2 linked regions of the Astyanax mexicanus genome follow. The protein of the gene in region 1 interacts with the protein of each later gene in a pairwise test. Links are inferred from orthologs where the notes say so. Each region holds a gene or a part of one and is shown on either strand. Other genes may lie near its edges. The genes, in order: lhx4 and chchd2.

Region 1 (12,235 bases):
CTGGCTAAAATACACTCACTATAACATTGAGCATCTTTCTTTTTCCCTCACTGTAACAGGTGTAGATGTGTATGCATATTAGCTATGTAATAGAGTGTATATAACAGGTGGTGTAGCTGTGTCTTAGAAGTGTAAAAAGTTGTTTATTACAAGTGGTGTAGCTGTGTATTAGAAGAGTAATAGATTGTTTATTACAGATTAAGGTTTTAATGGTGTAGGTGTATAAGACAAGTATTAAATGTGTAATAGAGTGTTTATAACAGGTTTAGTTGCAGATGGTGTAGGTGTATTGAACATGTATTAGATGCGTAACAGAGTTTAGGTGTAGAGTGTGTAAGTGTATTAGATGTGTAATAGAGTGTGTATAACAGGTTTAGGTGTAGATGGTGTAGGTGTATTATATGTGTAATAGATGTGTAATATATTGTTTTAACAGGTTAAGTTGTTGCTGTTGTAAGTGTATTAGAAGTATATTATATGTGTAATACAGGATGTATAACAGGTGGTATGGCTTGTGTAGGTTTTTGAGACATGTAATAGATGTGTAATAAAGTGTGTGTTACAGGTGGTATGGCTGGTATAGGTGTTTGAAACATGTAATAGATGTGTAATAAAGTGTGTATAACAGGTGGTATGGCTGGTGTAGATGTTTGAGACATGTAATAGATGTGTAATAAAGTGTGTGTAACAGGTGTTATGGATGGTGTAGGTGTTTGAGACATGTATTAGATATGTAATACAGTGTGTATAACAGGTGGTATGGTTGGTGTAGGTGTTTGAGACATGTAATAGATGTGTGATAAAGTGTGTGTAACAGGTGCTTTGGCTGGTGTAGTTTTTTGAGACATGTAATAGATGTGTAATAGTGTGTTTATAACAGGATGAGGTGTACTGGGTGTTCTCTTACTTGAAGAAGTCTTCTTTGCAGTACACACTCCCAGCGCGGGAGAAGCAGCGGTCAGCCAGCAGAGTGTGGCAGTCTGAGCATTTCAGACACTGAGCGTGCCAGTGCCGGTCCAGAACCTTCAGAATAAACTTATCCAGAATCGTCTGACTGCAGCCCGCACACTCCGGCAACTCTACACACACACACACGAACACACACACACATACACACAGATGTGAAAGGTTTATTCATTGCTGTTATTTGTTTTATTATTTACCTGTTCAGTAAAACACACGTTCTGATCCAGTCCCATCCTTCTATTGCCTAATTTATTCTGTCCAGATCTGTGTGTGTGTGTGTGTTAAAGAATGTGTGTGAATGAGAATGAGTGGATTGTGTGTGTGTGCGTGCATGTGTGTTCCCAGAATAGACAGTAAAATTGAATATAACACACTGCATTTTTATTATAATCATTTTGAATTGTAGATCAGAACGTAAACACGAATAATCTAAAATATTAAATGAATATATTAATATTATATTGTTAAATAGTTGATGGTGGTGATGAAAAGATAGGAATGATTAGATTACTATTACCACTACGAATAATAATAATAATAATAATAATAATAAACTGTTTTTACATTTAATTACGTGTGTATTTCACAATACAGTAAAGCAGTTTGAGATGCTCTATAAATAGCGTATTATATTTTTGTATTGTTATTACTGTTGATATTCAATATGTATAAAGTGTTTTTATCTTTGAATGTGTGTGAGGTGTGTGATGTTTGTGTGTGAGGTGTGTGATGTGTGTGTGAGGTGTGTGTGAGGTATGAGGTGGGTGTTTTGGTTTGAGTGCACTAAAGCCGCTTTAATCGATCAAAGATTAGAAAAGCTCGGCGCGGTAAATATCAGATTTATCATTCATAATCAATAACACATCCCGCAACCTGTGCTCATAACGACAAGACGCGCGCGCGGATACACAGAAAATACACAGAAACGCCGTCAAATCGGGAGATCAAATCTAAACACAATGAACCGGATTTAAAGCGTTTACACTTGATAACACACACCTGTAAAATACCTCAACAAACACTACTAGCATCGCCTGACTGATACACACACCTTATTCATCACCAAAGATGTTAATTTATTTATTTATTTAAATAATGTAAATAACCCGTTATGTTGGTTCAGTGTGAGTGTGTGCGCGTGGCGATCAGAGAATAATACTGAGCCTTTAAACAAACAACCAATTAATACTGATATTAATTTTAGTGTTTAATAATAGCAGTGCTTTAGTGCAAATATTTGAGTTGGTGTTTTATTAATAGTGCTGGAAATATTGGCTTAAAATTGTTATTACTGTTATTATTAGCATTAGCATTATACTCAGATAGCAAATGTATGTTAAACCGACGTTCCAATGCATTGAAATAACGTTGATCAGATGTTTTATTTAAGATGTTGATTTAACATATTTAAGCGTTATTCCTAGTATAAAACTTATATAATCAAATACGTATTTCTTATCTATCTATCTATCTATCTATCTATCTATCTATCTATCTATCTATCTATCTATCTATCTATCTATCTATCTATCTATATATATATATATATATATATATATATATATATATATATATATATATATATATATATATATATACACACACACACATGTTGTATTCCATTCTTTTATATGATTGTACTGTGTCCCTGCAGTGCCGAAAGCGAATTTGAAATAATAATTATTATTATTATTATTTGTGGGGAGTACCTTCCGCATAAAATCATTGAGTGTTAAATAGCCCCAAAAAACGTGGATTAAATGTCAAAATTCTAACTGTAACTGATGCCCATGAGTCAATATTAAATAAAGGTTGTTTAAATGTTCCTTTTCCATCATCAGCATTAAACGACATAACACAACCAAACAATGAACGTATATTAAATGTTCTTTACTGTCAGGTTATTATTATTAATACTCAGCACTCGGATGTTCTTCATTTTGAACGGTCACTGCTCGCGCCGTCCGCGCTCTCCTGCTCCTGTATTAGATTTACACCTGACACAGTTTTCTCTGCAGAACTGTCTACAGGTTCACTACTGTACTGTACAGAACTGAAAAAAAGGTTCTATAACGTTTTTGTTTTTGCTCGTAATACCAGATAAACCCTTTTGAGGTTTAGATTTATTTTTTAGAATTCCTTTTTTTGCGTTAATAAATGTATTGTTTTGTAAACTCATATGTTAATGAAAAAAAAAAATCTAAAATAATCTGTCTCAAACCTAAAATCATCTGAATGTGTACACAGGACTCTGAATTTACAGGTAAAACCTCAACAATATACTTTTTTTTTTTTTTTCAAAAAAATTAAAACAGGTCTACTAATACCTCTCTTTATTGACACTTTTAATAACATTAATTCAACAAATTTCTAACAACTAATCACGCTAAAAAAGTAAATAACAAAATAACAACACCACCATAAAGCCATAACCCCGAACATATCTGATCATATCTTTCTGTAGTGCTATTACAGATGTTTAGGTTTATAAATTGGACTGTTATTACAAATATGATTGTCCTTAATAACAGTTATGGCGCTAATAATAAATACTACTACGCCAAAGAACAAATATTGCAATCTTTAATAATAATATCGATTAGAAATCATGAAAATTAAAATCTTGACCAACGTTAACGGTTCCAATAACAGAATAAGAGCTGTATATAAGAAGAACAAGAATAAGAATATACACTAATTAAAGGTGCACGAATAATAGCTGTGATTGGAGCTGAAATCTAGTCTAATATGAGCTTATTTGTACAGAAAATATTTATCATTTATAAGTCATAATTGAGGTAATTAATGAGCAGTTTTACTGCGCGTTCCTAAAATAAAATAAACAGGACCAGATCGGCAGAATTTATTGTTAGTGAAACCCGGTTTATTTTAAATGTTTTGAGTTTAGAATCAGAATCAAGTAAATCAAGTGAATGCAGTGTGTTTATATCTCATATTTTATATTTACAGCAGTGTACTGTTTGTGTTTATTCGTTAAATAATCCATCTGCTGATCCGGAGCAGCTTCAGATTAAACCAGATTAGAATGAAGAGCAGCTGTGGACTAATGGAATATAGGGGAATAAATAATATAATGGGTAATTCCCACTTTAAGAAACACTATTAATGCTATTATTAATATATACTATAAAAGTAATATTTAAGCTTTATCAGTTGCTTAACTGCAGTGATGTTAGATTACCTGTTATTGAGCGCGACATTAATTTTACGCTATATGAAAGATCATTAAATGCGGTTTTAATGCATTTAAATAACGGGTTTATATTGTAATGTAACATTTTAATCATTCGGGGGTGGAAATTTTTTTGCAGCTCATGCAGCGGAATGAATGATGCGCCTGCGTGTTTCCTGCAATTTACTCTAATTTACTCATGCAAAAGCAAACAATATGATATTAATTTATTTTTAAATCGCTTGATTTTAATAAAATATAAATTATGACTTGGTTGTCTTTTTATATATGTGTGTGTGTGTGCAGGGTTAGTATTGTTCAGACACTATCTGATCGCTTACTTATAATAAAATCATAATAATATAATAAATGTTCCGCACAAATAATCCGGATGTCACCAATACAATCGTAATAATTAATATGATCAATGTTATCGCAATGTAGTATTGGTGAATATCAGTGAATATCAGTGACGCTGCTCTGAATCAATGTCAGCAGTGATGCAATACACGAAATGTGTGCGCGTGTGTTCTATAGCTTCATAATTAATTCTATATCATACATGATATTTTTATGGGTATATTAAATGATGATCAATAATAGTTAGTTATTAAACCTATTTGACCTGATGTGTGTGTGTGCGTGTGTTACTCAACCAAGCTGAGTATGTGTGTGTGTGTGTGGGGGTGAGGTGTGTGTATGAGGAGTGTATATGAGTGTGTGTAAGGTGTGTGTATAGGAGTGTGTGTAAGGTGTGTGTATGAGTTTATGTAAGGTGTGTGTATGAGTGTGTGTGTATGAGTGTGTGTGAGGTATGTATGTGTGCGCGTGTGTGGTTCTTACGGTGTTGTCCCCGCGTGTCCGCGCTCTGTCCCGCGCGCTGCATCATCATCCTCGCCCCCTGTCCTGCTCCTCGCGCGCGCGCCGGTAAAACTCCTCCGTCTCCGGCGCTGGGGCTCGCGCTCCTTAGGCTCCGCTCCTGCTCGCGCGCTCCAGCCGGTAAAGGGCTCGTGCGGTGCAGGGTGTGCGGGTGCGCGTGTGTGTTCGGGTATGTGTGTGTATGTGTAAGTGCGCGCGCGTGTGTGGCAGTGTGTGTGCGTGCGCTCCGCTCGGCTCCATCCATCCACTCCCACTGCAGGGCGCGTGACGTCACCACCGGGCAGAGACGAGAGATGCGCGCGCCCCACGCAGGTGAGAGGAAGTGACGACGAGCGAGAGTGAGAGAGAATTATAAATAGTCCAGTCAGAACATTTCTCAAAACATTTTTTTCCATTTTATTCTGTTGCACTGATCATATAAGACATTATTTAGATGTATAAGACTGTAGTTCTGTATCTGATTCTCTGCATATTTTATTATTTTTCTCATTTTATTCTGTTCTTTAATACTCAGGATCCGCAGTAGAGAAAACCACCACAAATCAGTTATTATTATTATTATTATTATTATTATTATTATTATTATTATTATTATTATTATTATTATTATTATTATTATTATTATTTTTATTTTTATTATTAGTAGTATTATTTGGGTGGGTCGTTATTCTCAGCACTGCAGTAATTAGAACTGATCAGCATGGTGGTGGTGTATGAGGTGTTTGTGTGTTGTGCGGGTGTACAGTGAGTGGATCAGATGCAGCAGTGCTGCTGGAGTTTTTAATCACTCACTGTCCTCCACTCTGTTACACATTCCTACCTACAGCTGCTCCAGACAGACAGACCATTATCATTAGTGTGACTGTCCTTTTCACCTTCACCTCTGTAATCATTGCCATCACCACTGTACTCCATTATTCTAAGCATTATAGCATCACCATCCTTTATATTATTATCAATGTCATAATCATCACCATTTCATTATCATCCAATTCAACATCAACATAAACACCAGCATGATAATCATTCTCATCACACAATTACCATCACTATCACACATACCAATATCAGCAGATTTACCAAAACATCATGATCATTGTTATTAACACCATTATCATTACTATAAATAAACTATTATAAATTAGTATTACCAGTTACTGTCATCAGTACCATACCTATTACCATAATCACCTTTATCAATCATCATTATTACATTACAATATGTGTGCGTGTGTGAATCACAAGCTTAACTATTATTATTATTATTATTATTATTATTATTATTATTATTATTATTACTGATAATTCAGTATTAGTGTATTTGAAAGACAAAACGAAAAAAAACACCTCGTCGTATATTGTGTGTAAATATTATGTATATAGAATTAATAAAAGTATATATATATATATAGGCAAATATATATGCGGTAGCACCTTATTACCGCGCGCGCTTATAAATACAAGTGTGAGATATCTGTGGGCTTTCTAATAATAGAAGGAGGAGACTCATGCTAGAACCTCCCCCTAACACACAAACCCCAACACACACACACACACACACACACACACATACACACACACATTCAATTTATATCCACGATGCGTTAATAAAAATAGCGCTATACTCTGTATAGATCGGTTATCAGCTTTAAAAAAAACACGGATAAACCAGGATGTAGATTCTCCTCTCAGCCAACAGTCTCTAATACACTCGCTTATCTTACTTGCATTAATATTAATATGTAAGCTCGAGCCTAGAGATCATAAACGAGCGGTCTCAGTCTGGTCTCGGGCTCGATCTCATTGCCTGATCCAGCACGTGTGTATGAGGGTAGCATTTATTATTAACTGAACTTTTATTCTATATATTATTTAATGTTATACTGTAGAATACATACTTAAATATAAGTATTACTGTACAGCATATAATGTACATATAATACATGTACAATTAATTACAAAGCTTTTTTTCCTTTTTTTTTTAAATCTAAATCTAAATCTAAATGTATTGTCTCAGTCTCGGCCTCGGACACTCCGGATCTTGGTCTTGACTTGGACTCGATATGTCTTAGTCTTGATACTGAATACAATACAAATATTTAAATTGACAGAATATAGCTCAGTACTAATACCTAGAACTTAAAGCTGCAATACAAATTAAGTATACTCAGAAATACCAATAGAGTACCGAATACACACTACATTCAGACGCTAACATAGATACAAATATATCTGCCATTACAATACACTATTGTTCATAAATATACATATAACCCCTACACATCACCCGATTAATAAATACACTATCAATATCTAATACATCAGTCAGATAGAGCGGTCACGTGTTTTAATAGCTGCTGAATGTATCGATCTTCAGTAGAGCTGTAATTGACGGCACGCGGAGGAAGAACAGCAACATAAACACTGCGCGCAACTCTTAGTGATATAAAACATTTTAGTATTTTATATAAATATTTAATTTATTATGATCACTGACTGCGACTGGTTTATTAGAAGCAAATTCACGTGGAATTAAACCTTTTTAAAGTTTTTTGTGGAATTAAAAAAAACACCACTGTTTATATTTGAATATAGGCAAAAAAACAATTAACATAAATATATCTATTAACAAATTATAATATAACATGATTTAAAAAAGAAAAACATATATATAGTATGTGTGTACAAAGTGTGTCTAACCATTTCCAGCTCTCCTGCAGAAAGACCAGTGTTCCCAGTTCTCCAGTTCTCCTCGAGCCGCTGGATTATCTAATCAGTCATTCAGTGATCTGCTGCTGGTGAAACCGAACTAATTCATACCGTGTCTGCCATTTCTGCATCACCTTCCTCATCTTCATCTTACACAGGCCAACAAATGCAAATTTACAACTTGATAATTATAAGATGAGGAAGCTCGAGCAGCGACTCCTTTTAGAATTGTTACATATTTGTATATACACTCTACTTATGTCATTTTACTGTTTTATGTAAAACGTCATGTTATTTATTTGTCCTGAAATACCTAAAAACATAATATAATCACATAAAATAAGAAATGATTTTTTCTTAATCAAATATGTAGAATAGAGTTTGAGTATGAGATATATTTGAAATTGTCTCAAATCAGATATACAGAATCTGGTGGAAGGACAAATAATCAACAACAAGCATTTAAATACAATGGGTTAGAATGGGATAAAAATAGCATGAAATGGGTTATTTTCAGGTAGAAATGATATGAAATGGCGTGAGAATGATATGAAATGGGTTAGCAAATAAATGGAATAGGTTGGAATGGGGTAGAAATTAAATTTAATTAGTTAGAATGGAATAAAAAATGGGAGGGAATGGGGTAAGAATTAAACGGAATATGGAAGCAATTGAATGGAATGGTATAAAAATGTTATAAAATGGGTTGGGAAGGGGTAGGAATGATATGGAATGGGGTGAGAATTAAATAGAATGGGTGGAATGGGACAAAAATAGGATGAGATGGGTTGGGAAGGGGTTGGAATGATACGGAATGGGGTGAGAATTAAATAGAATGGGTGGAATGGGATAAAAATAGGATGAAATGGGTAGGGAAGGTGTAGGAATGATTCGGAATGGGGTGAGAATTAAATAGAATGGGTGGAATGGGATACAAATTTGATGAAATGGGTTGGGATGGGGTAGGAATGATATGGAATGGGGTGAGAAATAAATAGAATGGGTTGGAATGGGATAAACATTGAATTAAATGTAATGGGGTAAAAATGGCATGGAATTGGGTTGGAATGGGGTAGGCATTAAATGGAATGAGTTCAAATGGAGTAGGAATTACAAAGAATGGGGGGTGGAATTAGGTAGTAATTGAGAGAAATGTAATGGTAAAGACAATGAAATGGGGTAAGAGCTGGACGGAATGGGGGTGCAAATGAGGTAAAATGGGGTAGTAATTAAATGGAAAGATGTAGAATTGGGAGAAATGAGGTAGGAATAAAGTGCAATAGTGTAGATATAATGGTGTAGACATAAGATGGATTGAGATGGGGTTTAGATATTGAAGAATAAGGCAAGACAAGAATGAAGATGTTTAAAGATAAGAATATAAGAAGATAAGAATGAAGAGCAAATTTAGATTATGACTCTTTTAGCTGTGTGTTTCATTCTACATAAAGAAACACACACACACACACACATACACACACACACCTCCCCCCTCCTTTCCAATCTTCAGTGTGTGTATGCTTTATGCATGAGGGGGAGGAGTCAGGCAGTAAAATGAGATGAATTTGACCATTTCATTTGAATGTGACCCTGTTTACCTCCAGTTTTAGGGTTCAGTGTAAAATTTGGTGTGTGTGTGGTTGGGGGGGGGGGGTTGAAGATGAAATCTGATAAGCAGATCATATATTAACCCTTTTCATCTCTTTACTTAATTAATTCACTCTCATGTTGAGCGTGCGCACACACACACACACACACACAGACACACACACACACACACACACAGATGTGCAGTGTGTATGGTGCCAGGCTTTTGTTATTACAGGCAGACAGGCTGTCCGAGTCGTAAACACCGCTAAGACACTACTGTCCCTTACACACAATATAGGGACAAAAGTATTGGGACACCAGCTCACTTATTGTATCTTCTGAAATCAAGGATATTAACAATAGTGTATCCTGCTTTTGCTGGAGTAACTGTCTCTACTGTCCAGAGAAGACTTTGTAGATTCTGGAGCATTGATCTGGATCTGGATCATCAACCCTACCTTATCCCCAACTCATCCCATACAAAAGTATTGGATGGTGCTCCATCATTCCAGAGAATATTGCTGGGGGCTTTATTACACACTGAAGTATGCCCACGCCTAGCATTAGGCATAGTGGTGCCAATAGGTTCATGCTTGGATATCTGCTCCAGAGTGTCCTATTGTATTAGCAATGCTTGAGTACTGTTGCCCTTATATGCTTTTGTAAATATTTCAGGACACTGTTGAACTACTGTAATTATTCCCTTAATAAATGCTAAACCACGATGCCCCCTCCACCATGCTTTACAGCTGGTCTGAGTCGTGGCATCGTCCTTTTGGAAAAGCACACCTACTGTAAGTGTTTAGAGTTTAGAAAGCATATGGCCATTGGCCACTGGTTGCAGGACCTCTTCAATGTAACGTTGAGTAGTCCAAGTTGCTATGATGAAGATCAAAGGTGATCTGACATCATGTGAAATTACACCCCACACTATGACCTTGGGGAAATGTGACCTGAGTAAAAACAAACCATTCATCTTGTTGCTGACTGCAGTGGCTCCACACACAGATCCATTTGTTGTCTGTGTGTGAATGTGATGATGATATATGTAAGTTTATTGGGGGAAAAAATGGAAAATTGAAATAAGGCTTTAGTACCCTGGATACAAGAAGAGATTGAGACGGATGGGCATGGAGTTATACAGGTTTGGCATGGCAACCTGCAGCACATTTTCCCACAGATGTTGCTAAAGCTGGACCTGTAGATCCTTTACACTGATCTGGTTGATCTGGTGGCCAAACTGAGGTTCCAGATGCTTCCATAAATACTCGACTGGGGACCAATCTGGCAACCAGACAGGCGAATAAAGACATTTTTGGGAGACCCTTGTGGTCGTCGGTGAGCATTGTCCTGCTGAAAATTGCCAGTTTGAATCCCTGACACATCATTAGGATGTCCTACAAATATTACTGAGCTGTTAGTGTTCCTCGTATCAGTACTAGTAGTGAGCAACGGTTGTATACGATGGTTCACTGGATCATCACACCCAAGTGGTTTGGGCAGTGTGTCACTCCACTGCAAAGGCAGGATTAAATCGCTCATCCTGAGGCTTCCATACTCTAATTGAACATTTGTTCAATCTTAAACAGAACCAGGATTTGTTGCTAGAGATGATCCATTTCCGATGATCTGTGTGACTCCAAGGTTCTCTTTATTACACCACTGCAAATAAAGGTGATGATGGCCTGACGTTGGATCTTGACTGGCATTGGACTGCCTAGATGAAGGGCAATTCATCAAATCGACCATCCTGCATCTCTCAATCAATCCAAGGATGTGCCTCCTCTCAAAACCTGTAAACAGGGCAAAATGTATTTGAGTGCATCTCAGAGGCATATCTAGCAGTTAACGATCTCTCACCAGGAGGTAAACTACCCAAAAGGAGCCTCTTTAAACCTTTTTATACATATAGTACACTATATGTTTGTCAGGAACGTGTAACAGTGCTTCCTCTACAGCCCTATAAAAAGGCTCTCATAGGCTACTTTTGGGTAGTGTACCCTTTAGTGAGAGATTGCACCTATAATATATGTGTATACACTCACCAGCAACTTTATTAGGTACACCTGTCCAACTGCACATTAACGCAAATGTCGAATCAGCCAATTACATGGCAGCAACTTAGGCATGCAGACATGGCCAAGACGATCTGCTGCATTTCAAACTGAGCATTAGAATAGACTGGCTGGTCTGAGTATTTCAGAAACTGCTGATCTACTGGGATTTTCACACACAACCATTTCTAGGATTTACAGAAAATGGTCTGAAAAAGAGAAAATATCCAGTGAGCAGATACAGTTTTGTGGGCGCAAATGCCTTGTTGATGCCTGAGGTCAGAGGTGAGCTGAATAACCACTTCAATCAAATAACCACTTGTTACAACCGAGGTCTGCAGAAGAGTATCTCTAAACATCAGCACAACACGTCCAACCTTGAGGGGGATGGGCTTCAGCAGCAGAAGAACCACACCAGGTGCCTCTCCTGTCAGCTATGAACAGGAAACTGTGGATACAATTCGCACAGACTCACCAAAATCGGACAACAGAATATTGGAAAAACAATATTCAACTGGTTTTAGACCACAATAATTTATTGTCCCAACGGACAGCTCTGGTGGAAACAGGCAGTGGTGGTTTTATGTTTTTTCGATACAATCCGGCTTAGCGCCCCAACATCCCTTTCAGACAGCTTCCTCTTACAGCGTCCACAGTTAATCCTGTTGGATGTGGTTTGTCCTTCTTTGTGTTTTGCTGACATTATCCTGGATACCGTGGCTCTTGATACATCACAAAGACTTGCTGTCTTGGTCACAGATGCGCCAGCAAGACGTGCACCAACAATTTGTCCTCTTTTGAACTCTGGTGTGTCACCCATAATGTTGTGTGCATTTCAATATTC
Region 2 (12,822 bases), on another chromosome or scaffold:
AATAAAAAAAATGAATGAATAAATAAGTAATTATTGGATTTAAAAAATGTGGGCTCAGGTGCTTTATGGGCATGGCCACAGTGATGTCACAAATTATTTAAACCATTTCCTGGGTGGGATGCTGTGCTGTATCCTCTGTTAAAAGACTTTTCCAGGAGGATTTTAAGCAGCTTCTTTCGTCTTCTCTCTGGTATTCGGGCAGGTGGCAAGATGGCGTCACAAAATCAGTTGCCAGGTCACAGAAGAGAAGAGGAGGATTGGTAGGAAAATTGTGAGGTATTTTGGGGTTTCTGGACGCTGCCAGTGCAATACTGGCTCACAGACGTATGCACACAGACAAACGTGCCCTGCTGCATAGCACTCTTGCTGACTAGGCCGTAGGCAATGTATAAATTGGCTTTTACTGTGTGTGTACAAGCATTATCCTGCTTAAAAATACGAAAAGGCTGCTTCTCTCAGTCCAAACGTAAATCCATTGTTCAACTTTGTCAATCTTCGATTTTATGTAGAGGCATGCCTAGTAGCCAATGATCTCAGACCAAGAGGTGGGCTACCCAGAGTTTTTATTGGGCAGCAGGGGGAAGAAGAATATGCCCTCCAGAGTTTTGCAACAGTTCAGGTTTTTTAGTAACATGACAGCATAGCTTGCTTATACACTAAACATTGAGGAAAGCTGAAAATGCTCATCACCACCAGCACCTGCTGCCATGTGCAAAATGAACTATACACATTTTGTTGTGTTCTCTTGTGGAGCAAGTGCCAAGAAGGGGAACAACAGCTTCAAAGAGTGGTTTTATAGTTTATTGTTTTTTTTTTGTTGTTCATTAACATTACATTTCTGAAACTACAGAAAGCTGAAAATATGCATTGAATCATTGCCATCATTAAAATGTACATATCTATTACACACAAGTCTTATACAGCATAATTACAATGGTTCCTTAACAGAAATAGTAACAATGTTAGGTCTCTTCTTGCACTCTTCTTTAATTAAACTGTATTACTGATGTAGAATGTGTTTTTCCAGTCACAAACTGCAAACTCATGACATCCCTAAAAAAAAGAGAGAGAGAAATTAAGTAAATATGTGAAACACAATGGTGAACACAATAATATGTTACAATGAACAACTTCAGAGCTATTCAGTAAGACTGACAGTGCCCACTAAAGGTGCAATACACATTTCATTTTGTCAGTATAATAAAATACCATAACTGTGTTATATAATATGCATCAAATATTAATGATCCCTTACCTAAGCATCGACTATAAATAAATAAATATATATATAAATGCAAAAATAGAGGCTAAATAATGACACAGTAGTGTTTGTAATCATACATTCAGACTGATTTGACTTAGCAGTACAATAGACTACATTCATATTAATATGTTGTAGTTTTATTTGATTCACTGTAGTGACTGAAGGGGAAAAAAAAAAATCACACAAACATACCGTTGGAGAATTTGCATTGTTTGAGCACTTCACTAAATCCCTCGCAGAGTTTGAGGTCGCTCTGTGTCTGAGCACACTCGATGAACTGCTTGAGCTCATACGAGCAGGGGTTCTGATGTGCCTGGTCCTGCTGATACATTGGCTGCTGCTGCTGGTACATGGGCTGAGCCTGATAGGGTTCCTGCGGGATTAATAAAGCAATTAATAAAGTTCCCAATTATTTTTCACACATAACTAAAGTAAATTGAAGTGTTTAAAATACTATTTTCTTACTTGAAATAATGTTTTATCCCACAAATGTTATATGACAAATAAATTATTGTAAAAAAAAAAATCTTTATCTTTGATAGAAAAGTTAAAAAAAAAAAGTTCAAACATATCAGATGTCAAACACAAATTCAGTAAGCTACTTTAGTGAAGTTAATGTTACTTGAAAAGATGAACAAATGTATAAAATGTAGAAAGCTGGCCACATAAATTAAAATACATCTTGTTTTGTGAATTACTTCCATACATAGAGAATAAATTATTTACACATTTCAATAATTCACACTATAGCTTTGCTAAGCTAGCAAAAACAAAAAGGAGGGTGATGCATTATGGTTATACCTAATGGTTATCGAGTCAGTTGAAATAATACTTCACAGTATTTAAAATTGCTACATTTAGCTAGTTATAGTTAGTGACAGATGTTTACCATGTATTATGGGTTACCCAAGGTTGCCAGATATACAGTAATTACCTGATAGGTGACATCAGGCCTGGCAGCCTCTGAGCTTCCACCACCACCACCACCAAAGCCACCGGTCATGGCATGGCCTATAGTGTGTCCAACGGCAGAGCCAACTGCTACGCCCGCAGCAGTGGTAGCCATCTGGGCAAACATCCCTGGCTGTCTAGGTGCTGCTGCAGGAGCAGCCACAGCAGACGGAGGGGCAGGAGCTGGTGCATAGGATGGAGGAGGTGCAGCTCTGGCCATTGGAGGGGGTGATGGTGCTGGGCGGGAGGAGTAGCTGTGGAGAACAGATCAACATGCGTCAATCACACTTTGTTTATAAGTACAAAGCTGATTTTTTTTTTTATAACTAATTTATTTTCTACACTTCAGACTATTATTAAAGACATCAAAACATGTTAATGGACGCATGTGAAATCATGCAGAAAACAAGTAGCAAACAAGTGTTTGGCCTCCACAACCCCCTGACCTAAAAATGATCAGCTGAGATGGTGATTTGGGATGAGCTGGAGCTAAATGTGGCTACTAGAAGAATCTAAAGTATAAAACATATTCTGGTATCTGCTACGTTTCCTTTACAAAATAATTCTGCATGTGTTCCTGTATAGCTTTAATGTCTTTAATATTACATTTTCAGTGTAAAATCTGGAGTATCCAAGCCAATCTCCATTTAGACCATGATTTTGGTCTGGTCTTTGAGGGTTAAGGTTAGGAGTGTGCCATATTGTATACCCTGAAATATTGTGATATTGTTTTAGGGCCATACGGGCCAGTACAAGACAACTTTTTTTGCTTTTTGTAGCAAAAATATTTACACTCTTTTTATTCCCCATTAAATATTATTATATCATTATTATATAATACTGGATATATACTTCAGTCCTGGATATATGGAGTGCTTTATATAGTATCATGACATGTTGGATTATAAGCTTACTTACTGTTACAATCAAGATTATATCATATGAAATAAAACCACCAAATTAAACCATCCAGAGTTAACTCCTTAAAATGCATTGTTCCATAAACGGGCTACAGGTGTAGGTGATACAAAACACTTTTTGTCTGCAGTAAACTAACTTATTTACATTCTGAACATTTGAGGGCTTTGAAACCTGCTACAGGAGAAGCTGCCTGTTCACTCTCTACTCCACTTAATAATTCCAATTTCAGTAACAGGAATCAACACAAATTCTGCATGTTTGAAAACAGATGTAAAAAATGGATAAAGATTATTGGGGGGGGGGGGGGGGATTTTGAGGATTTTTCAGATTTGTATTCTGAAAAACATTGATTTTTAAATAAAGCTAATTTTAGGATTTTATTCATTAAATTTTGACATTAGCAAATTTACTCAAACTTTTTATATGTTCTATTACAAGTACGCTTTTCCGTTATGTTCCTTATTAAACATGAACGCTTTTTTATGTAATGCTTGAATAGAAATTCTAGAAATTTAGTGGTGTAATGTCAGGAAGACAATTGACAAAAAATCTGGCCTGATTTTGATCAAGCTTGGGATGGCCATGTTGTTTATCATACGGGTTAACTCAGTGTTTCTCAACCAGGGTGCCGCGGCACCCTGGGGTTCCGTCTGGCTTCATCGGGGGTGCCGTCAAAATATTGCGCCTCACGTGCATATTTCCTTCCCAGAGTCAGCTCGTGTCGGGGTGTGTCCCAATTCACAGGCAGCATACTCTGAAGGATGCGACCCACAGAGGCGGTGTATTACTGCGCAGCTGTGACGCAATCTGTCTTCGAATACAGCCTCTGAAGGATGCAGCCCCTAAATTGGGACACACTGTAAAGTTTTTGTCCCCCCACGCGATGCACGCGCTATTTTATTTCATATTCCGCCAGCAACACCCCTCGTTCTCACCTGAAGTACTGCGCCAGCACCCCCCCCCCACCCCCACCCCCCGTCCGTAAACTGGGGTGCCTTGACATCTCGCATATATTTAAAGGGTGCCGTGATAGAAAAAAGGTTGAGAAACGCTGGGTTAACTTACTCAAAAATAACAAATTTTACTTTGGGCCATTACCTATTTAACCCCAAATGTCCTTAAAATAGATTATTAACCTTTACAGTGGCCAACATGGTACAACCATATTTATTCTAACCCTTAACGTTACCTGCTACACTATGAGCTTAACGTGTTTTTTAATAATCTCTTTCATGCAGTTTAGCTACAGTGTTAATATGTAAACAGCGCGTTACTGTAGGTTAGCTAAGCTAAATCCCTGAAGCCTGGTCCTCTAGCTGAGCTGACAGATCAGGTAAACCGCTATTAGCCGCTGCTAACCCGGCTTCAGTTATCTCACCTCGGGGGAGCCATCCTGGAGGTTCGGCTGCGGCTTCCTCTCGGCATTTTGAACGATATAATAAACTACAACCAAGTTTTAAACTCTGAGTCTCTCTATTAACTAGAGATTGTGTGAATTAAGGTAGTTAACTAAGATAAGCTCCCTAGCTGCCTGAGTCTCTGCTCGACCTTCTGGTTGTCTGCTAGCTAACACGAAACATCCGGGGAACTTTCCAGCATGTTATATCAGTTACATCACATGGCCTTTCAATATAAAAGTAGATTAAAAATATTTTATTTCTTAAATTTACAGTGTTTTCAGTTATTTTCTGATCTGTTCTAATTTGTTCTTTAATTATTACGGGCTTTACTAAAACTACACGACCTGAATGTCATTTATCAGGTGTTTCAGATTCCTTAAAAAAAAACACACACACACACAAACAGAACCTTTTGTAAATTTACATTCTGGAAATATGTTTTCTGTCTGGATAATGTGTACACTACTGTATAAGACAATACTTGATATATTGTTAAAGTCCAACCATTTTTGGTTTGCTAGACAGAGTCAAAAATTTGTAATAACAATATAACTTACACTACAAGTTTGGGACACATAAATAAAAATAAAGAATGACCAATGGTCTTACTGAGAGATAAATAAATAGAAGAATAAGTAGAAGATTCATCATAAACATTAATAACATATATGATGTGCAATGTTACAGCAGAACGGATGGATGAACAGAAAAAGTAAATATACAAATAAATATACTATATTTACTAATTTACTATATATACAACAGAATATAGAAATATAATACATATGCACATAGTGATGGTGGTGGTAAACTATGACTATGCCAGTCCTCTTTAATTTAGATATTACATAATAGAGCAGCACTAACAGCAGCAATAGGTAAAACGTTTTATTGCACACAGTAATAAATAGTAAACTCCTGTCTACGGAGAGCAGTCTAATGTCAGAGGGTGGTGCATGAAGTGGAAAATATTTGTATTAATTGTAATATCAATATACAATACAAGTTTGGGACACATACATATAAACATAGAATGACCAATGGTCTTATTGAGAGATAAATAAATACCAAACAAATAAGGAAATATGATTAATATCTATTTTAAATATCTACTGAAAAAATACACCAACAAGGAAATATGTTTGGTACTTAAGAATTGAGTTTAAAATAATGTATAAACATTTATATATATATATATATATATATATATATATATATATATATATATATATATATATATATATATATATATATATATATATAAAGTGTAAACATTATATTAAGCCACAAAGTAATTCCAATTTAGTGGAAAACTAAAAAATGTTTATTTTAAATGTTAATTTTAATAAATATATACAATGAAATCTAAAAGTGATACAGACCTTTATTAATTAATAGAAAACACTACTATTAAGGTGCCATAAAATATTATTTTTAATTGTCTTTAATTGTTTTAAATAATTGTTTTATCAGATCATTTATTATTTAATCTGTTAATAAAAAAGTTATTTTTATTGTTTTGTTGCTTGATTGTGTAAATGTGTCTTATATAATAGTATATCGCTGTCTCATAACTTAATAATGCCTTACAGTTTTGTTAATTTTTTATAATAAAATAAAATGAATGATACATCGCTTTTCCGCTTCCTGCTGTCAGACTGATCCTCCCTCTGAGCTTCGGAGAGAGCGGATAGCGCTATCCAGCTCCTTTGTGTCTGATGTCTGTTATTAATCTAAAAAACATCGCGCTATTTTATTTACAGTGCGCTGTTTAATGAAGCTACGGAACACTGGATATAATAATAAAGTAAAGAGGTGAGATTTACTGTTATTCAGCCTGTCGAGTTTGTTAGCCACTTAGCTAGCTAGCATTAGCCAAACTAGATAGCTTTAGCCCAGCTAGCCTAGCTAGCTAATGTTATCGTTGGAAATTTGGCAGGAGTCGCATTTATTATTCTTATAGTTAGCTAAAAGCAACACATAGAATTTCATACAGAACACAAAACAATATAACTAACGTTAACCTATAAACAACCAGACCTAAGCCATAACATGTCAATATAAACAGCTGGAAAGTGTACATTTAACCTGTATTTTGTGTGTTTTAAATTGGAGACAGAACAGCTAATCCTTTAGCTCTTTCCGCTTCTCTTGCTTTCGTTTTTACAGAAACACAGATACCTTTGTAACTATTGGAAGTATAAATATTTATTTTTAGAGAAATTACAGAGGGAACCAGAGAGCGGTGAATACTGTTTCCTACACCTTAAAAAACTCTTTGAAATTTGAGAAAACTTGTAACGTTACAGTATAACGTCTGACTGACTTCCATGGCAACACATTTAGTTTCGCCTAACAATGGACTAAGTCTCAGTGAAGAGAAGAATTATAGGTCTGACAGGTGAAATGCAGTAAAATAAGAAAATAAAAAGCAGCTTGTCTGGGCAATACAGCACTGCTAATTACTGGACTACTACAAATAGAGATGTTCTAAAACGTTTGACTGGTAGTGCACAATGTCATAAAACACGCCAGTATGAATAATACAGTTAATACGAAAACCCAAATAAATGTGAAAAAATACATTTAAATTCAAAACAATAAAAGGAAAAAAATAATGAAATAATAGTGTCTGATGTTGACAATTGTACAAATAGTGTTTTTTTCATATTGTTAAGTCATTAATTGTTGTGTTTTCTTTTTTTTTCAGATAAGGTGAGGGATGTCCTACTATTCCTCCTCATCATCTCGCGGCTCGTCCCGCAACTCGGAATGCAAAGTGTACGTTGGAGATTTGGGCAGTGGAGCTGCTAAAGCTGAGCTGGAGAGAGCTTTCAGCTACTACGGCCCTCTGCGCAGTGTCTGGGTGGCAAGGAACCCACCTGGTTTTGCCTTTGTGGAGTATGAAGATGCCCGGGATGCAGAGGATTCTGTGAAAGGAATGGATGGAAAGTAGGTGCATCAATGAATAAAAGAGTTATTTGGAAATTTCTTTCTTTAAAAAAAAAAATATATATATATATATATATATATATATATATATATATATATATATATATTATATTTCTCTTACCATTCCACTTTTTATATATTGCATTTTTATCAAATTCTGTTTTCTATTTAAAAAAAACCAGCTTACAGACCAATTTAGCATGCAATTAAAGAAAACAAAAATGCCACATTTAAGACACAAAAAGTAAAGCAATTACTCATATACTGTACAGTTTCTACAGATGTGGTTAGAAATTTCTGTATATTCATTATGAACCTGAATAGCATGACTATAATAAATGCATTTTTAACTGTTATTTTTTTAAAGATAAACAAACATACATATACAGTGTTTGTGACAAAGGACATTAATATTTGGTTGGAAGTCATTCATCAACTTGCAGCTTGATGCTTGCTTCTAGAAGAATTCTGAAATAATTCACATAGTAAAAATGTATGGACCATATTTTTTGGACTTTTAACAAAAGTCCACATATTTTAGGTCAATACCTATTAGATATAATCAAGGTAATTAATTAAAGTGACCATAAGAAAAATACATCAGGCAGTTCTGCATCAACTCTATTGTCCATATCCTTTTTTAGGGTTCTCTGTGGATCTCGGATTCGCGTCGAGCTGTCCACCGGCATGTCCCGGAAAAGCCGATTTGGTCGACCCAACCGCCGCCAGTTTGACCCAAATGATCGCTGCTATCAGTGCGGAGACAGAGGACACTACGCTTATGACTGTTACCGCTTCAGCAAAAGGGGGCGTCGTAGCAGGTAAAACCATCACTAATGAAGCTAGACTGTCACATTGTTATGGTATTTGAATAAGAAGATTAATTACTTCCCACACACTTCTTCACTGTGTGCAAACTTTATATAGCCTTTGGATACATTTTGTTTCATATTTTTCAAAATGATCGTGAGGTCTCAAAGGTTTTTAAGTCTGGTGGTCTTTTGTTGGCCTTAACATTTATCTTTTCAACACAATTCATCACTTTCAATGTCAGTCTTCTGATATTTTGCAATATCTTTGGAATTTTGCTAAAAACGGAGAGACACTTCTAAAACAGATGTGAAACATAAGTGTATGACAAGTGTATATAGATTTTTAAACCGGTAAATGTTACAGAGTAAGAATTTGCTGTGTGTGACAATTATCAAAAATATGACTATCAAACTACCAGCAGAGAGCAAGAAACTAACATTGTTATTATTAAGTTATTGTTGTTATTAAGGGATGACAGATGATAAAAAAAAAGCTATATTTGCGATTTTACAAGTTTTGTTTATTTTGTAGGTCTCGATCTCGCTCTCGATCCAGGTCCAGGTCCAGGGGACGACGCAACCGCTCACGCTCCCGAAGCCGCAGCAATGAACGGTAGAACATTTTTAAAAATTATTATATTCAAACTGAATTGTGTTTAATACTTAGAATAATTAAAAAAAATAAGTGAAGTCTATTCATTTAATTATTTGAATGTGGCATATTAGGTGCTATTACAGTAGGTCATAATTTTAAGGACTGTGTGGCCCGATTAGAGCTCTCTTATTAGAAAACAGAATTTACCCCACTTTTTTAAATGAGTAGATGAAGCCTGTAGAAACTATTAAAACTTTCAAAACTTTACATATTTTCTTTTCTAATTTTGCAGGAGATACCATTCTCCATCTTATTCAAAACGCAGGAGCAGGTAAGCTGTTGTGACTTGCTGTTAGATAACTGTGGCAGTATCAGTCATTGCAAATGTTAATAATGTTTTTACTCTGCTAAAGCACCTGAGGACATATTTTTGATTTTAATTTATGGTATTATGCTTAACCTTGGTGTTGCATGAAAATAATCAAATACAAAGCAGAAGTAGAGGCGCGGTACAGTTCTTATAATAGTAATAAGGAATAGTATTGTCAGCGTAATCTTTTTTTTTTTTTTTTTGCTTTTTTTTTTTTTTGCATTTTAAAATTGTTACAGTCCTTATGTGTTTGGTTTTTATTAATAAACAAATACCTTTTTTCCAGTAATGTTCAGTGAGGCACCAAAATTATCACTTTTACATCCCAGCACATATACCAGCAAAGAACGATATATTAATACCAGCAATACTGTAATAATCATTTTTAGTCATATGTTTATGTGAGGCGTTTTATCTTTGTCATATATTTACTTTAGCACTGCTACCCAAGTTATTTGTGTCTTTAAAGTTTTTACAAAGACAGACAGTCTTTTGATAAGTAAATGCTGTGATCAGTGATGCTGAATGCTTTATCGCATTTGATTTATCAAAGTGTAGTGTAGCACACAGTTTGACTAATCATTTAACTAAAAAAGTAATACGCTTCCATTTTTCCAGTCAAAATCACAACCCTAATCGTAATCCTAATCCTAGGTCTGGTACTCCAGCCCGCTCCAAGTCCAGGACTCCTGTTCGGAGGTAAGGAATCAGTCTCAAACCAATTTTACTTTTTTTCTGTCCAGAATCAGCCCTTATTTCAAACTGCCATTTGATTTTGTTTCCTTCCAGTCGGTCTCGGTCTCGCTCTCGGTCCAGATCTTTCTCGCGATCTCGCTCTCGATCCAGGTCTCGCACACCCAACGCTAAGAGGGACAGGTAACTTTTTGGTGTCAATCATTGTATTATAATATCTGCTAGTTTGTTACTTTTATGACCTTATATTTTTTCTGCTCTATTATTTAATTGTTTGAAAGCATGTTTGTATATAATAAAATATGTCGATTAGAATGTTTTATAGTCCCTATACATTTCTATCACATATTAAGGAAGTGATTTAGCCTTTATGAATAGCTCAGATTACTTGGCTGCTCTTAGTCAGAACAAATTATTTTGGTTAAATTGAGATTAGGCCACCATACATGCACACAGTTTTCCCTGGAAGACCAGCTTACATCTGAGGTAAGCCAGTCTTTTAGCCTGACCAAGCAGATGGAGACCCTTCGACGGAGATGGATGGACCGAGCAGGTGCAGGAAAGGCGGAAAATTAGAGGCTAGGGATTTTGACACACTCCAAAAACAAGCCCAGCCCATTCCCACTTCATTAAGAACTTGAAAAATCCCTTTTTGGAGATTACAGTCTAAAATGTCTTGTCCACGTCACACTTAGGTTCAGAGCTAACTCACACACATACACCTCATGAGCCTAGACTCCAAGAGCCAGTATATTATTAAAGGCCAAGGGCGGTAAGGGGAGGGACGTGTGATAAAACTTGGGGAATCTTCTCTTCTCTCTTCTCCCTCAGATTCAGCCTCATGTTGGTTAGCTACAGAGGGTGACCGAGATCGCAAATCTCCAAAAAAAAATGTCATGATCAGACAGCGGTGACCAATTGCTGCAGGCTGTTCTTGTTTTTCTCTAAAGAGTGTGGGAGTCGACGGCTCAAGCACTGACCAGGGTTCATCCTTGCCATGTTAAACGTCCTCCAGGAGGGTGACAAAAGAGCTAACCTGAGATCAGCCTCCGCCACGGTGATTTAGAGATCGTCCGACGCACAGTTCTGACAAGACACCTCCTGCGCGTACACAAACAGTTGTTCCACCCACCCCACTCCTATCCCGAACCTATGCACTACTACTACTACTACTACAGCAGACCAGAATGCCCCCCTTCCCTCCAAAGCTCCGCCTTCTTGCTTAGCTTCTGAGAAGGGTTGTGAGAGAGAGAGAGGAGAGAGAACTGGCGAGAGATCAGACTTCAAGACCCTCCGAGTGTGTCTTCGAGTTCTAGCATCCGTCGCTTCTCTGTATGTTGTTTCCGCCACTGTCTCCTAAAGGTAACCAAAACCCAAGAGTTAATGTCCTTCTTGATATGAGCCCTGGTTTACAGTAAAATCCAGATTCTTTTGTAAACATTTGCTTTATGCAGTGTGTGTAGAGCATGCACTGATTAACACCGCTGTGAATGAGTGAGTGAATAATTGAAAAGGCCTCCATTTCAACATTGTTTTTAACATGCTCTTGTCGACTTGTCCCCTTAATTTTCTCCTTTTTTTATTCTAAATACCATTTTAAAGAGCATGATTGATCACTGACCCCTGATTGATTTGATTAGCTAAAACTTGATTTCTGATCTCATCAGTAAAAATGTAATGTTAGGTAAGAGAGAGTGAAACTCCATGTAAATAAATTGTAAAAGTTTTTATTAAAGATACAGTATTGTTACCATTCAAAAATTCATAGCTAATAATAGAGTTTCTAACAGTAAGAAATTTGCATTATAGAGATTGAATTTTGGATATAGTCCAGTAAAATTCTGTCAACTGTATCCTGATAGAATTTATTCAGCTCTGGTCTGACAAAATTCCATCTACTGTAACCCAACAAAATTTCAGACAGAGTTCCTTCAACTGTAACCCAATAAAATTTCAGACAGAGTTCCTTCTACTGTAACCCAATACGATTTCAGACAGAGGTCTGTCTACTGTAACCCAATAGAATTTCAGACAGAAGTCTGTCTACTGTAACCCAACAAAATTCCAGACAGAGGTTCGTCAACTGTAACCCAACCAATTCCAGACAGAGGTCCGTCTACTGTAACCCAATAAAATTTTAGACAGAGGTCTGTCTACTGTAACCCAATAAAATTTCAGACAGAAGTCTGTCTACTGTAACCCAACAAAATTCTAGACAGAGGTTCGTCAACTGTAACCCAACCAATTCCAGACAGAGGTCCGTCTACTGTAACCAAATAAAATTTCAGACAGAGTTCTTTTAACAGTAACCCAATACAATTTCAGACAGAGGTCCATCTATTGTAACTCAATAAAATTGCAGACAGAGATCTGTCTACTGTAACCCAATAAAATTTTAGACAGAGGTCTGTCTACTGTAACCCAATAAAATTTCAGACAGAAGTCTGTCTACTGTAACCCAACAAAATTCTAGACAGAGGTTCGTCAACTGTAACCCAACCAATTCCAGACAGAGGTCCGTCTACTGTAACCCAATAAAATTTCAGACAGAGTTCTTTTAACAGTAACCCAATACAATTTCAGACAGAGGTCCATCTATTGTAACTCAATAAAATTGCAGACAGAGATCTGTCTACTGTAACCCAATAAAATTTCAGACAGAAGTCTGTCTACTGTAACCCAACAAAATTCCAGACAGAGGTTCGTCAACTGTAACCCAACCAATTCCAGACAGAGGTCCGTCTACTGTAACCCAATAAAATTTTAGACAGAGGTCTGTCTACTGTAACCCAATAAAATTTCAGACAGAAGTCTGTCTACTGTAACCCAACAAAATTCTAGACAGAGGTTCGTCAACTGTAACC

The links.
Region 2: the proteins of lhx4 (region 1) and chchd2 interact in binary tests that used the Homo sapiens proteins (3 or more experiments, as listed by UniProt). The two-hybrid records come from large-scale screens. The link is inferred for Astyanax mexicanus from reciprocal best matches to the Homo sapiens genes LHX4 and CHCHD2.

Annotation. Positions count from the first base shown.
Region 1 is NC_064419.1:9,337,472-9,349,706, forward strand, and holds the start of lhx4 (LIM/homeobox protein Lhx4), read right to left. Parts: upstream 5,294-12,235; 5' UTR 5,283-5,293; coding exon 5,003-5,282; intron 1,080-5,002; coding exon 908-1,079; intron 1-907. UniProt on the Homo sapiens protein: May play a critical role in the development of respiratory control mechanisms and in the normal growth and maturation of the lung. Binds preferentially to methylated DNA.
Region 2 is NC_064411.1:44,409,450-44,422,271, forward strand, and holds chchd2 (coiled-coil-helix-coiled-coil-helix domain-containing protein 2), read right to left. Parts: upstream 4,718-12,822; 5' UTR 4,562-4,717; coding exon 4,515-4,561; intron 2,470-4,514; coding exon 2,199-2,469; intron 1,638-2,198; coding exon 1,457-1,637; intron 1,054-1,456; coding exon 1,043-1,053; 3' UTR 780-1,042; downstream 1-779. Other genes in the region: serine/arginine-rich splicing factor 7, read left to right, coding at 7,259-7,488, 8,133-8,309, 8,833-8,913, 9,188-9,226, 9,920-9,964, 10,055-10,141, 10,909-10,981. UniProt on the Homo sapiens protein: Transcription factor. Binds to the oxygen responsive element of COX4I2 and activates its transcription under hypoxia conditions (4% oxygen), as well as normoxia conditions (20% oxygen).